Lonchura striata: one gene and its partner. The protein of the gene in region 1 binds, or shares a complex with, the protein of each later gene. Links are inferred from orthologs where the notes say so. Each region holds a gene or a part of one and is shown on either strand. Other genes may lie near its edges.

Region 1 (6,943 bases):
GTTATTGATAATGTGGAATTGGGCAAGTTGTATTATATTTCAATGCAATAGCTTGTTCTTCCTCACATATTTAATTGCTAAAACAAGAATGCTAAGGGGTTTGGAGAATTGATTAACAGATTTGGAGTTTTTAATTGCAAAGATCCAGGACTGATGAATATTTTAAATACTTCTGTGATACCGTACACAGAATATCCACAAGAGGGAACTGTTTTACATAAAGAGGAGTCATTTCCTTGCTGCTAAAACATTGCTTTCTGGAACCAAATCCTCCAGAATTACATTGAGTAGGCATGACTGTATCCTGGACTATGCTACGTGGTAAGAACAGGAACAACACAGGTCAGCACAGCATTTGTTATGTTCTGTAAATAGTATTGTTAACCAAGTAAATTTTGAGCTCGTGTTTAAATATTAAATGGACAACTAATCTGAAAACTAATCCACTAAAGTTTTCTGTTTGTTTGGAATAGATCTCTCCAGGATGCAGAGCTTGAAAATCTTGTTTAGTCTTAAGGCAACGTGAAATGGAGCTGTTGCCTCAGTAAATGAAGCATACAGCCCCAGGAAGCTTTCTCAAACTCTGCTTTATAGAGCCTACACTGGAAAGCTGGCCTTTCTTTATTCATAAAGGAGAAAGCTCAAATGGGACTTAATGGAAGGGATATTCATTTAAGGATCATTTTTACCTCTGTCTATGAATAGGTGAACAAAATACGAAGTTACCTACTTTGCTTTGTCTTTTGCAGATATTTCCTAGTAAGGAAACTTTCAACTGGTAAGGTAAGTCTTACCAATTGATATCTATATTTACTTTTCAGTGTGAGTTTCATGGTAAATATTTGTAGAACTGAGCCATATTTATGTAAATAAGTTTTGTTTATAGGGATAAAACAAAGGTTTTCCCCTGGATATATAGTGTGGAATTTATATACTAGGACTCCTACTGTATGTGTTGGTTGGTTTATGAACAGTTTTGAGCATCAAAACTTAAAAGCAGCTTTTTACAAGTGATCACAATAAATCTGCTATCCCTGTCCAAATCTGCATGTACACTCTGTGTGAACATGTTGGAATCAAATTACTTGAACATACAGACTACATTTTGTGCACTTACTTTGCTTTAGTCAGAGTTTTTCTTTAGGACCATCTTTGGTATGTGTGGGTACAGTATTATGGGGATGGTATTTCAGAAGTGCCTAACAATCCTGTTTGCTTCTGGAGTGCTTGTGAAAACAGTGTCTGCACTGCTCAGCTGCAGCAGTATTGAGTCCAATACTTTTTAACTCATACCTTCTGAATCTATAAAGCAAGAAAATGTATTTTCAGACTGCAGCCTCTCTGTCAAGTCTTCTGAGCCCTCTCAAACAAGAGAGAATGTATGTCACAGCTATGATTCAGAGACTCACTTCTTGTTATCTGCCAGACCAGAATATGGAAGAAATTCCATCATGCAAAAACCTTCCCTGGGATATGCTGGGCAGCTGCTCTTCATTGTCCTCATCTTGCAAGGTGCACAGGGCTTGTAGTTTCTGTTAGCTGTGAGAGTGCCTGTAAGTACCTGGCACTTCTGAAGATCAGACTTCAAGTGTCTGTGGTACGATGCTCCTGCCCTTGTTCCACTCCAGGTGTTTGCTGATGGATAAAAGGATCCCTAGGTGTGTGTGCAGCTGGGAAAAGGATGTTCCTCACAGGACTGCAGAGCAAATGACCGTGAGAACCAGGTTCTGATTGTGTGATCCTGTCATGGAAACACTTTGCAGCCCAAGAGGGTCTCTAGTTGTGGGGAGGGCTGGTAATGAAAAGACATGGGAGGGGGCAGCAGCTGTGGCAGTGCTGGCAGTCTGGGCTTGCATGTGGCAGTTGTGACATGCAGTTTCTTTTCAATCTGACTAGTTTTCTGCATCTAGAAATTCTCAACTAAATTCCATTACAACCACCACCTGGGAACGGCCTGCTTCAGGTCTGCTATGTAACTGTTTTTCTCTGGGAAAAAATAATGTAGCATTTTTCTTACCTGTATGCACTTCCATATCATTATTTAATGCCTTCTCTATTCAGAGGCCCCTATTAAACCCTTCTTGAAAAAGGAAGCCTTCTCTTGAAGGAACAGACTGGAGAAGCAGACTTGAGAGAGACGTCATGATGAACTCACTGAGTCAGACAGACAGTGGTGTTACTGAACAAAAAAAGTGGGGGTGAGAGGGTTAGAGAGCCCCGTAAAAAGCTTTGGGAAGTCATAAAATCTCATTACCTTCACTTAACTAGAAAACAAAAACAAACAAGCCCCTGGCAGATGCAGAAACAGAAACTACTGCTACTAAAGGTTAAGAGATTACTATTTCATAATGGTGGTTCTCTGCTGGTATAGCAACTAGATAAGATGGGGGAATGTCACGCACACAAAGGCTGCTGTATTTTACCCTTGGAAAGATGTCAAGAGGATCTGCATAATACTTTGTACAGACACCCCAGTGAGCAGACCATGTGCCAAATGGAGATTTTGATTTATGTATAAATGAATACACATATAAACATATAAATTACTCTGCTTTTCAACGTGAATACGAAAAAAAAGTAGGAGATGACTGTCCAGATTTTCTTGCTGGCTTCCCCTTTCACCCCATGCTCCCCAAAGGTGTCGTTTTAAATTGTTATTTATATTCCTAAGGGTTGAATTCAGGAATGTTCTTGGGATGTGCGACAATTTACGGTGCGCTTGCGGAGCGTTTGCAGTACTCGCCCGTGTCAATTAAAGACAAGCCACGAACGCCTTCAGCGGAAAAACCCACGCCGCGGTCCCCGATGTTTATTTCACGCTCCCTTAGCGCGTTTCCATGCCAGCTTCCCCCTCCCGCGCCGTGCGCATCCCCGGGCACCTGCTGCTGCAGCTCAAACGCCTCCTGCGAGCCCCGAGCGCGCCCCGTTCCCTCCCTGCCCCGCTGCCCCCGGCTGCAGCCCGGCCCGCCGGCCCCGAGGCGCCCTCGCGGCCGAGGGTCGCGCTCGGCGAGGGATGCGGGCGATGGGCGCGGGGGCCCGGCGGGGCTGCGGGGGCCGTGACTGCGCCGTGCGTTGGCCGCTGCGTCATGACATCCTTCGAACCGGCCCCGCGCACGGCCGGCGCGGGGGGGCCGCTGCCGCCTGCCCCCGCCCCACCGCGGCTGCGGAGAGCGCGGCGCGGCGGCGATGGACGCGCCAGGGCCGGCGGGACTTGTTGGACCGGCAGCTCCCCGGCGCGGCCGGGCACCGCCTCGCCGCCACCTGTGAAGCGCCCGCCCCGGCACGCAGCCCCCGCTCCCGCCTCGCCGTCCTCCGGAGCGGGCGCTCGGCGCTTCGGCGGCGCCGCGAGCTGGACCGAGCGGCCGCGGGGCGGGGAGCGCTGCCCATGGGGCGCCGGGAGCCCGCCTGAGCCGGCGCCCCCACCCCGGCCCGCCCGGCACCCCCGGCCCGCGGGGCCTTTGATGCGCCCCCGGGGCGGCTGCGGGGCCGTCGCGTCCCCCGGCGGCACAGAGGGAGGGGCGGGAGCCGGCGGCGCCGCTGCGCGTGTGGGAGCAACAGCCTGAGCGACAGCCGGGCCCTGGAGGGAGCTCCCGAAGGATGGGCGAGGAGGCGGCGGCAGCGGCAGCGCACGCACAGATGGGCCAGCGGAGGATGAATTAGGAGCCACAGGAGGCTGCTGCTGGCACCGAGGGGGGAAGAAGAGAGGAAGGGGCTGGACTTGGAAGAGGAGGAGGAGGAGGGTGCGCGGTGGGGGTGACTAAGTGTCGCTGATAACAAGTTAAAGACTATTAACAATAATAACAGACCACCTCCGGGAGGATCCGCGGCGGAGGCTGAGTGAGGGATCCCCGCTGAGGCCAGCGGGGTCGCAGCGCTGGGTATCTCGGAGAGACGCTCAGAGGCATCAGTTTGTGGTGGTGGTGGATGATTTTTTTTGGGGGTGGGCGGGGTAGGGGCTGTGTATGCGGGAGAAAGAAGGGGTGGGAATCTGAGGAGGAGACTATATTTTTATTACTATTTAAAATTTTTTAAAATATTATTTTCGCCGTACAAAGAGGACGCTCGGAATTCACCGGCCTGTCGGCTCCCGAGAGGGACCCGGGAATTGTGCGGTCGCTTTTCTTCACCTGCTTTTATTTTTTTCTTTTTTTTTGTTTGCTTGGTTGGTTTGGCTATTTGTTTGTTTTGACTGGGGGCTTTTTATTTTTATTACTCTCCATATCTTTCCCCGCTGAGCAGCGGCGGCAGCAGCAGCAATATGGCTGGTGATGGGCTTTTTGGGGGGCGCTGGCGGCGGGAGGAGCTCTCGGAAGCCCCTGCGCGCCCGGCTCGCTGTTAGCTATGGCAAATGGCAGCGGCGGCGGCTCCTACCCGGGCGGCAGCGGCAGCGGCATTAGAATGAGTAACAATATCAACGCCAACAATCTCAACACAGACTCGTCCTCCTCCCCCGTCAATGTGCCCAAGATGGATGCGCTCATCATCCCGGTGACCATGGAGGTGCCCTGCGATAGCCGCGGACAGCGCATGTGGTGGGCTTTCCTCGCCTCATCCATGGTTACTTTCTTTGGGGGACTGTTTATCATCCTGCTCTGGAGGACCCTCAAGTACCTGTGGACTGTCTGCTGCCACTGCGGGGTCAAAAACAAGGTAACTCCCTCTTCCCTTCCCTTCCCCTCCTGCTGCCGGTGATGGTTTGGTGCGGTGGTGGTGAGGAGGAGTAGGAGCCCAGCCTTGCAGAGCGGGACACCTGGGCGAGGTGGCGGCGGGCTGCTGATGGCAATGTGCTGCCTGCTCTTGGCTTAGGGTTGCCACGGGCTACCGGCAGTGCACCGTGGGCAGTGTAGCTGGAGGGGCGAGGTGGTGCGTGCAGTGCCAGGCGCCTCCCCGTTCCCCCTTCTCTGTTCCACGCCACGCAGGGACCCATTCGTTTTCATGAAAGTTACACCTGGTGTGCGACGCTCACCCTGGCAGAGAGGCACATGCTGGTGTAGTGGGACGGTGCAGATCAGAAGTTTATGTGCACCCTTGGGGCCGCATATGATAGGGTGGGAGCTTGCATATCCTGATCTAAACTCTCAGTTGCCTTGTGGAATGAGAAACTTCGGCAAAATTGAGCGAGTAAATTTCTCGCTCAATTTCTCACTCACTAAAATGAATCTTTATAAAGCTAGTTTCACGCCCTGAGAATATTTGACGTTTCTGTTTGTTAAATGTTTCTATCTGGAAGTATTCTGTACATTTCTAAGTATTCTCTTAACCTAAGTGTGAAGTCTTTGAGGCAGCCTTTCTGCCACTTTGATTTTTGCATATTGCCAGCTGGAAGAAAGCATAGTATGTGAAGTAAGTTCAGTTTCTGCTTTGAAGGGTCTATTTTCAAACCAAAACTAAGAACTTGCTCAAGTCCACATTGTCATTTTTGATTACGAAAAATAAGATCGAAAGTGTTACCACTGTATTGTGAAAGTGGATTTTGACAGACCCCAGAACAGATCAGCAACTGGAGTTTCTCCCCTTCCCTTTTCACATTTTTTGAATTACAAATGGAATAATATCTGCTTCAGTTATTCCTGGCACACAGACACCCACAAAAACACACACACCTTTTAATATATGGTTGCTAGGTTGCTGGTTTGCTTTGACGTACAGTGAGCTGTCTTCCCCTTTCTCCTGTCCCCTCCCCCCTAAACACACAGCACATACACCAGTTCTGTGAAGGGCCCAGCATTTAGGGGAAACCAGCAACAAAGTCAGAGCATGAAAATTTATGGTACTTGTTTGTTGTGTAGTTTGGGTTGCCTACATGAACCTCCACATTCCAGTTGGAAGTTAAACTCTTACAGTGAACTTGGCCTGTCTATGGAAGGAGCGATTGCTAAAGTTAAGGAAGAAAAGCTTTGACGTCAGCCTGAAGCATCAGGAATCCTATCAGGCAGTACTACTTTGCTATAGGCACATTTTTTTTTTCATTCAAAACCAAACCTGAACTTTCTTAGAGTGTTAGCCAGGTATGATGGCACAGCTCTAATGAATTTGTGGTAATAAGATAATATTTCCTACAGCAGTAAAAGGCAGTTTTCAAGGAAGGGCGAGTAGTGAAGACTTAAGCTTTGGTTTTGTTGTGTATTTAGCATTTATGCCTCCACAGACTCTAGACAGGCTCTCAGGGATCTTGATGAAAAATAATAATCTGCCTGTTATTACCTTGTGCTTCTTCCCTTGAGAGAGCAAAAAGTTAGAGGCTTGTACGCAGGATTCTTATGTGTGGTTTCTTGGTGGGTACTGTTGGTCAGGTAGTCCATTACTGGGACACAGCCAGTTAAAGCAGATCAGTCATTTCTTAATCAGTGTAGAAAGATATGTGCAAATTGTTTTTAAAACCTCTTGGGCTAAATGTGCCAATTTAGTAACAGGCTGTATTGAGGGGTTCAAACACTTCCAGTCTGAACAGTTTGATGTACTATGGCTATGGCAGGTTGTAAGATTTCAGTTTATTTCATCTTTGATACTGAAGTAGTTCCATGAATGTCATTCCCTGGGGCAGGAGGATAAAGGACTCTGCAGGTAGGGGGAGATGTATGTCTCCTTTTAGATCCTATTTGTTCCACTTTTAAGGATTTTCAAGACTGGCAAAGAAAAAGAACTTTCAAGTGCTGATCCTGCATTCCTTATATGATAAAATGAGGAATTGGAGGGAATTCTGTTTATGCAAGGATGTTAGTTATAACTAGTTATTGCAAAACACTTTTCTAGTATTTAGGGTATAAGGCCAACTGAAGTAACTGAAGTAACAAGTGGAATGATCTGAAACTTTGCTGTTACCAAGCACATGCTTTGCTGCTTGGTGAGTTGGGAAAAGCTGCCGAGGCTGCTGGAGAGAACTGTGAATGTGTATATGTGCTGTGCTGACTCTATTGGACCTGCTGCAAAAGCAATTTTAGAA
Region 2 (7,280 bases), on another chromosome or scaffold:
GTGCAAGGTAAGTTCTGAGTAGAAAACCCAGTCTTCTTGGAAAGAAGTAGAAGTATTCCTGTTTCTTACCTGTCCAACATGTCTCATAGTCCTTGTGGCATATTGTTTACAAATCTTTACTGAATAGTTAGCTCCACTTTCTCTACAGATCTACTACCTTCAACTTCCAGGGTTTAACATAAGTTTCACTGATTTGATTACATCTGGTATTGCAAAAGACACTTCTTATTTCAGCAATTGTTACTTAGACTACCCTGCTTGTGGGAAAATCACAGGTACCAGAGTGTCATGAAGGAAAGGGTTAAGCATATTCCACTGGGGTCTTTAAAAATGAGCAAACAAAAAACCACCCCACACTTGGTCTCCTCAACCTTAGTGGTGTGGTGCTGCAAATACACACATGAGAACTTTCATGGGCATGATTATAATCTAATTGAAGCCCCAAGTAATCCAGGAAAGCCTGCAGATGCTCACATGGGTAAAAATATTTCTCATGTGACTGACCTTTGATGAAGTGTTGGCTGCATCTGTTGGGGTTCACAACTGACCACACCACTCCATCATGGCTGTGTAGCATTTCTACAGTACGAAGATGTATGATTGTATCACTTGGCTGCATGGCGTGTCTGAAATCCTCTCTGACCCCAAGCCAGTATTTCTTGCCTGTTTGTTTTACAGTTTCCATGAAAAGAAAAGGAGAATGTAACCAAATAAGAATTTGTGTATTGTATTCAGATGCAGGAGAGACCAGAAACAGTCTTTGGCATGACCTAGGCAGGGCTGGGAAACAGAGGTCTGTGGGTCCATCATCTTGCTCCTGAGTGGCTCCTAGGTGACCATGGCTATGGCAGAAGGCTGTCCATCTTCTAAATAATGCTGTTCAAAGTTGCTAGTCACCTCTAAGAAAATTCCCTCTCCCCCTGCCTCCCTCACCCCCCCCTTCCCCAATCCCTTGGTAACTTCCAATTGAAAATAATTCCATGGCTGGACATTGAATGAAACAGAAAGGAAAAATTGGTTGCTGTCATACTCAAGAAAAGCCTCTAAATGCACAGCTGCCATTCTAACCATGGGATACCTAGACAGTGCTTTTGGTTTAAGACCCTAAATATAACAGTTACTATTCAAGCCAAATTTCAGCATGTGAAATTAGTTGTCAAGTACCTTTTCATTGTGTCCCTCAAAATTTGCCACTACCCAAAGCCAGTAGAAATTGAATTCTGGTAATGCAGATTGGATTTAGCAGTTAGTCTGGATTGACAGCTGCTGGTTTTATTTTCATATATAGTATGTCAATTAAGTTTTTATTTTTCTGTGATAAGTATGCATGCTCTTGTTTCCATAAATCTGAAAGTTTCCACTATGTTAAAAAGACCTGAGGAAATGCAGCTGGATAACCTACTTTGAAATTTTGGGTTTAATAGTTTCAGTGGCTTTAGCACTTAAAACCACTTTACTGTTAGAGGTAAACTTTTGAAAGCAATGTTAAAGCACATTGAACGATAGTTTTGACTGTTACTGATTCAGCTCACTTCTGGATTAGCAGTGTTGAACTGAGTTTGTGTATTGTTTTTCTAGGCTTCAGTTTCTCATTTGTATTTTATATTGTCTTCTTGGTACTAGTGAGTTAATACATGTCAGGTTTTTCCTGTTGAAACTACCAAAATAATTTTCTGTAAAATCACCTTTTGAACTCCCTCTGGTTTAGCAAACAATCCAGTGAAGTAGCCAGTTGTTATGATTGGGCCATCCTTCATCAGCTGTAAACAGTCCTGATGAGGAGCGAAAGGAAGGCAGGTGTCCCAAAGCTCTCTGGTGCAGACATTGATGAACCTCTGTGGAAACCCTTCAGCATTCTCTAAACTTATTCTTGAGTAAAGGGTGGGTTTGGTTGTTTCAGAGATCTCTCTTCCCTTGGAAGGCCAGTTAACTTTCTGGTGGGCATCACAGCATTTGTTTTATAAAGGCACTCAGTTGTTCTATTTAGATATTTGCTTTTGGAAAAGGTAGTTCATTTCCTGGAAGAGGGGCAGTCAGCATCCCGCACTCCAGCACGAGGCTTGTGCAAGGAAACAGGGAGGTGTGAGCCCAGGCCCAGTGAGCAGTCGGAGTGGGTGTGGTGGCAGAGCTGCGCTGTGGCTGCCCAGCCTCCAGCTGCCTGACCAAGGCAGAGGTGTTCTCAGCACTGGCCATACCAGGTGGGTCAGCTGCAATTGGCCACAGGTAAGGCTGTCCCTTGGTTGTGGGGCAAGGAAGGGCCCAAAAGAGCAGGCAGCAATCTGGTCTTCTGCTGTTGAGATTTTCATATAGACGTTGGACTTCATATGCCAGCTTTCTCAGCCCTGGTGGCTCCTGGTGCAGCCCATGGTCCTGGAGCCAGCATCCCCACTCCTGCCCTCAACAGGTGACAGCAGAGCTAAAATCTTTACAATGGGCCCCCTTTACTCTGCTACAGTGATCAGGCACTGATGATCATTTTTCACTTCAAATTGATCCAAATAGACTTTAAGTCTTGACTGAGTCATTGGTGCAGAAGTTCAGAATCTATGAGATCACCTGGTGAATGCTTAGTCCATTTCTAGTTAAAGTACAACTTCAGCATCTCCCCAGCTGTGGAGGATGTAGGGCTTGGATGCACACAGGAGGACTAGCTCAAGGTTGCTCTGTCACCCAGTGAGCTGTTGCCTTAATTTCCATCTGACAGCACTTTATGTACAAGGGATTGCAGGGACTTGAACCAAGTATGGAAGGCCAGCTGTTCAGGAGGTAAGACAGAAGGAAGCCGCAGCTCATTTAAACTGAGAAAGCAGAGCTGGAGCTTCCCTTTCAGGTGGTACGTGACTGATCAACCTGATTATAATTTTATTTTTTATATTATGAAAACTATGCAACAAGCCTCTACCATTAGAGACTGCTGTCACTACAAGTGCTGGCGCCACAGAGCCAAGGACTAGGCAAGAGGAGTTGAGTTTCTAGTATAAACACCTATAGGAGTTTTAAGTAAAAAAACCCATAATTCCAGCTCAGAGCTGGTATACTTTTTCAGAAACCCTTTGATAATCAGGGCAGGCTACTGCAAAGCAGCTGGCTTGAGGGGAGTGCGGTGGTTCACTTGTGCAAGCAAGGACAATATTTACATCCATCTATATTCATGGCACAGCGTGGACTTAATAGCCTTCCTGCCAAACCTTGCTTAATAGTCCATTTGGAGAACCTACGGATCAGCTTCATTTATAAAAGTTTGATGTTGCAGTCTGCAGTGGGAAAGAAATTGGAAAAGGAAAGTGCTATTTCCCAAACTTTTTCTGCATTTCTGTACCTTCTTGTCTACAGTGCCATCAAGTTCAGCTATCAGCTCGGGCCTCATTTTGTTATACTAATTGCCTGTGATAAAGACTACAGAATAGAACTATAAGTATTGCATATGGTACTTTGGCACCGAAGAATTTGTGTTGCCACAGTGGGAAATGCTGGCTAATAACCAAGCTTTATTTGCCAAATAAATACATTTTCTTGAATCAGCAGCTTTTCTTGCAAACCTGCTTGGAAGACAGCATTTCTTAGGGTGAACCTTCAAGGGTCAATACCTTCCTGTTCAAAGCAACTCCTGTGTGTGATAGCTATCATCTTGCATGTTATCTCTGTCCCTACTGTGCAGATGCTGGTTTTGGGGCTGGCCAGAACACTTTACTTTGAACTCCAAAAATGTTAACATTTGGCTAATTCCCATTATGCCCTTCTTTATTAATAAGGTGAAAATAGAAGCTGACTTCTCACTTGTGGATGCTTAATTTCTTTCATTTCATATCCATTTCCTCCTCTGCTCATAGAGACCTTGCAGACTGTGATGCCTTAGGGGTACTGAATGGAACTTTACACAAGATCTCCAAGATTTAAGAAGGAAGCCAGTGGTGAGATGTTGCCTTAGGGGGGGGCCACAATGCACCCAAAGGACCCCACCCACCCTCTTCTAGATATTGTACATTGCATGATGGTACCCAATATTAATCCGGACTAACCCTCCGCACAGCAAATCTCCAGTCAGATAATCGGGTTGCAAGCTGTCCCTTTCCACTCCCGGAGGGCCCTGAATTAGGTCAGACGGGATTAAATTTGCTTTTTTTATTATTTGTCTTTTTTTTTTTTTTTCCGTGCTGGTTACACGCGCAATCAGCCTCGGAGGAGGCGGGGATGGAGGCGGGGAGCGGCGGTAGTTTTAGCCGATGGCAGTGGCTGATGCCCGGCGGCGGATGCCAGCGGCAGCCGGGCGATGGCGAGGAGCCGGGCGGCTTACGAGTACACGGAGGCGGAGGACAAGAGCATGCGGCTGGGTTTCCTCCTCATCGCCGCCGGCTTGCTTTCCCTGTTGGGTTTGGGTTGTTGCTGGCTTCGCCCGGCGCTGCAGGAGCGGGGCGGCGGCGGCTCCGCCAACTGCACGGTGCTGGCGGTGCGGCAGCTGGGGGAGCGCTTCGCCTGCACCTTCTCCTGCGGGGCCGCCTGCCGCGGCACCGCCCGCTACCCCTGCCTCCAGGTGCTGGTCCGCACCTCCCGCTCCTCCGCACCCGCCCTGCTCCATGAGGACGAGCGGCAGCTGCGCACCAACCCCAAGGTGAGACCCGCGGACGCCCTCCTCTCCCAAAATGCGGGCGGTGGTCCCGTCGCGGCTGTCGGTGCCCGTTCACCGCTCCTGGCACTCGCCCTCTGTTCGGTGCGGGGATTTCTCTTTTGGGAGGTGGAGGGTGGTAAGTGAAGTGGGGGAGTATCCGTCCGAAATGCCGCTCTGCTTGTTGCTCAGCAAAAAGTAGTATATCTCTATAGTGTTTATATACATATATAATCTCAGGGAAGGCTTAGGCTCGATACTTGGAAAAGGCTCTTCACCCAGAGGGTGGTTGGGCACCGGAGCAGGCTCCCCAGGGAAGTAGTCACAGCACCAAAGCTGACAGAGTTCAAGAAGCGTTCGCTCTCAAGCACATGGTGTGACTCCTGGGGCTGTCCTGTGCAGGGCCAGGAGGTGATCTGGATGATCCCAGTGAGTGCCTTCCAATTCGGGATATTTTGTGATTCTATATAGTATAGTATAACATGCTGTATGTAATGTATACTGTACTATATAGTGTATTACACTGTACTATATACTGTATAGTATGGTACATGCGCACACATACACACACACACTGTCTCACTCTCACACACTCTCACCCTTCGCGGCCAGCTCCATTCCGTCCGTCCCACCCGCGTCCGGAGCGCAGCCCCGGGCGGCAGCGCAGGGACGGCAGCGGAGGCTCCTCTGCCGTTCCCCGGCTCTCCCCGCCGGAGCCCCGGGACGCCGGTGCGGAGAGGAGGCGAAAGTCCTGCTGCCGGCGGGGAGGTCTGTGTGCTCGGGCAGCGCCCGGTGCCGCTGCGGTGCGCGTCCCGGAGGGTGCGGGACTTCGCAGTGCCGCTCCCCGGAGCGCACGGAGAAATGCTAATGGGGCCGCTGCTGGCGGGGAAAGGGCTACACCAAAACTAAAGTTTCCCCCGTGCTGTTTTGATTCTTAAACTCCTCCAAGGACCAAACGAAGAATTTGTAAAGTTGCATCTTCCAGCAAACTGGGGGAGTCTGAAGGCAATGTACGATTTTTGTACTTTCTCTTTCCTTAAAGGCAGTTATTCCTCCTTCTCCTTTTTCTTTTTATGCTGGGTAAAATGGCTTTCCTAGCACGCACATGAGTGGAGGAGATATTATTAAGTAGTTTGAAGAAGATGTCGGAATCCTCCTCCTTCTGAAATAACTTGGAATTAGCACTATGTTGCATCCACATCTCTGTCAAAGAGCTGAAATTTCCTTGCCACTACACTCTTAAGGGCCATGCTCAGCACAATGCAGGGGTGTGTTTGCAGGGCTGGGAAGCATGCTTTGGTGTCCAGCTGGGATGTGCAGCCTCACTCTCCTCAGTCATACTTGCACGGGTGTGCTCCATCACTTGGAAGGCAGATAAAGTTTCACACTCAGGGTTTGAGGGTTGCTTTTCCCCCCTTGGCAGCTTGGAAGGGTGGTCAGGGTAAAAATCAGAAGAGTAAGTAGCAGGATAGTAAATCTGACAGGATTTGGATTAAATTTTTGGCACTGCTCAGAAGTGATGAGTGATTGAAGCTGCAGTGCTGGATGGAGCCTGATTAGAAAGCAGATGAAATGCTGGCCTGTGAGGGAGCTTTGCAAATCTTTTCCTGGGAGTGCTGCTGCCAGGCTCCCTGTGCAGAGGGGTGCGGTGGCAGAGGTGTGCTGGGAGTGCCCTAGCTGTCCGAGCTGCAGGACTTCTCTAAGCATCTCTCCATTTTCAGGTGGGCGGGGGGAGTTGGTAAAATGCAGGAGAAAAGTCACCCTTTTGATATGGGGTAAAGATGACGTGGCTCTGCAGAGGGGCAGCATGGCTCTCCCTGAGCGTGGCCCTGTGGCTCAGTCGTGGTCATCTCCAGCAAGGAGCTGGGAGATGGAAAGTGGGAGATGGGAGGTGAGTGCTGATTGCCACCAGAATGCCTGGGCTCAGCAGCTCTGGCAGCATCTGCAGGTTCAGCAGCAGCTTTCAAATTGGACCGTGACTGCAATACCATTCTGAGTAGTCCAAGTGTTTTGTTTTGTTTTTACTTCTTGATCTTATTTACTTCTGCCTTTCTGTAACTATGGTGGGAAGAGAAGGATTGCACCTGCCCGGGGGCTGAATTGCAATTGCAGGGAGGCACTCCAAGCTTGAGAAGTAATGCCTGTAAATATCACTCAGAAAACTATTTTTATTTAACAATTAATTTCATGTTAACTCTTAATAATAAAACAGGGCTGTTGGCTGTGTGTGGTACTTTCCTGCTTTTACAAATATAATCTCTTTTCTTTACCTTTCACCTTGTGTTTCTAGGTGTGGGCTGTTTACCCTGGGATATTGATTGCTGAGTATTAAATCTGATTTACCAGATGTGACCAAGCAAAAAAGGATGCATTTTTTTTGATGTAACTGTAGTCTTTGGTAGTAACTGAATTTATCTCAGTGGAAAATTGTGCAGAAAAAAAATGTGCTCTAATTATTGTCCCTACTTTAAGAAGCTTATGTAAAACAAATACAAAATAAGCAGAAAAGTCAGGTCTCATCAGGAAACATACCTTTGTAAGGGACTGAAGTCTGGATCTGTTTATTTGGTTTTCCCTTTTTTTCCCTAATTCAATGTCTGCAGAGACAAACAGTTATACTCTCCTTTAATTTTTGATTTAAAGTCTTGCTGTCTTTGAAAGCTTTCAGGATTTTATG

Evidence for each region. The genes of interacting proteins can lie anywhere in the genome.
Region 2: the proteins of KCNMA1 (region 1) and KCNMB4 are in contact, whole or in part, in a cryo-EM structure (PDB 6V22), measured with the Homo sapiens proteins. The link is inferred for Lonchura striata from reciprocal best matches to the Homo sapiens genes KCNMA1 and KCNMB4. Residues at the interface, in NP_001154824.1 of Homo sapiens: Phe98, Phe99, Leu102, Phe103, Leu106, Leu107, Arg109, Thr110, Tyr113, Leu114, Thr116, Val117, Asp238, Leu240, Trp241, Leu244, Pro327, Trp328, Asn330, Gln332, Leu367; in NP_055320.4 of Homo sapiens: Thr11, Glu12, Ala13, Glu14, Lys16, Ser17, Leu20, Leu24, Ile34, Phe35, Cys38, Trp39, His105, Thr164, His165, Val183, Leu186, Ile187, Leu190, Thr191, Ala194, Leu197, Ala198, Lys200, Ala201, Met204.

What each region holds. Positions count from the first base shown.
Region 1 is NC_134609.1:9,978,742-9,985,684, forward strand, and holds the start of KCNMA1 (calcium-activated potassium channel subunit alpha-1), read left to right. Parts: upstream 1-3,939; 5' UTR 3,940-4,341; coding exon 4,342-4,650; intron 4,651-6,943. UniProt on the Homo sapiens protein: Potassium channel activated by both membrane depolarization or increase in cytosolic Ca(2+) that mediates export of K(+). It is also activated by the concentration of cytosolic Mg(2+).
Region 2 is NC_134607.1:44,931,302-44,938,581, forward strand, and holds the start of KCNMB4 (calcium-activated potassium channel subunit beta-4), read left to right. Parts: upstream 1-4,270; coding exon 4,271-4,609; intron 4,610-7,280. UniProt on the Homo sapiens protein: Regulatory subunit of the calcium activated potassium KCNMA1 (maxiK) channel. Modulates the calcium sensitivity and gating kinetics of KCNMA1, thereby contributing to KCNMA1 channel diversity.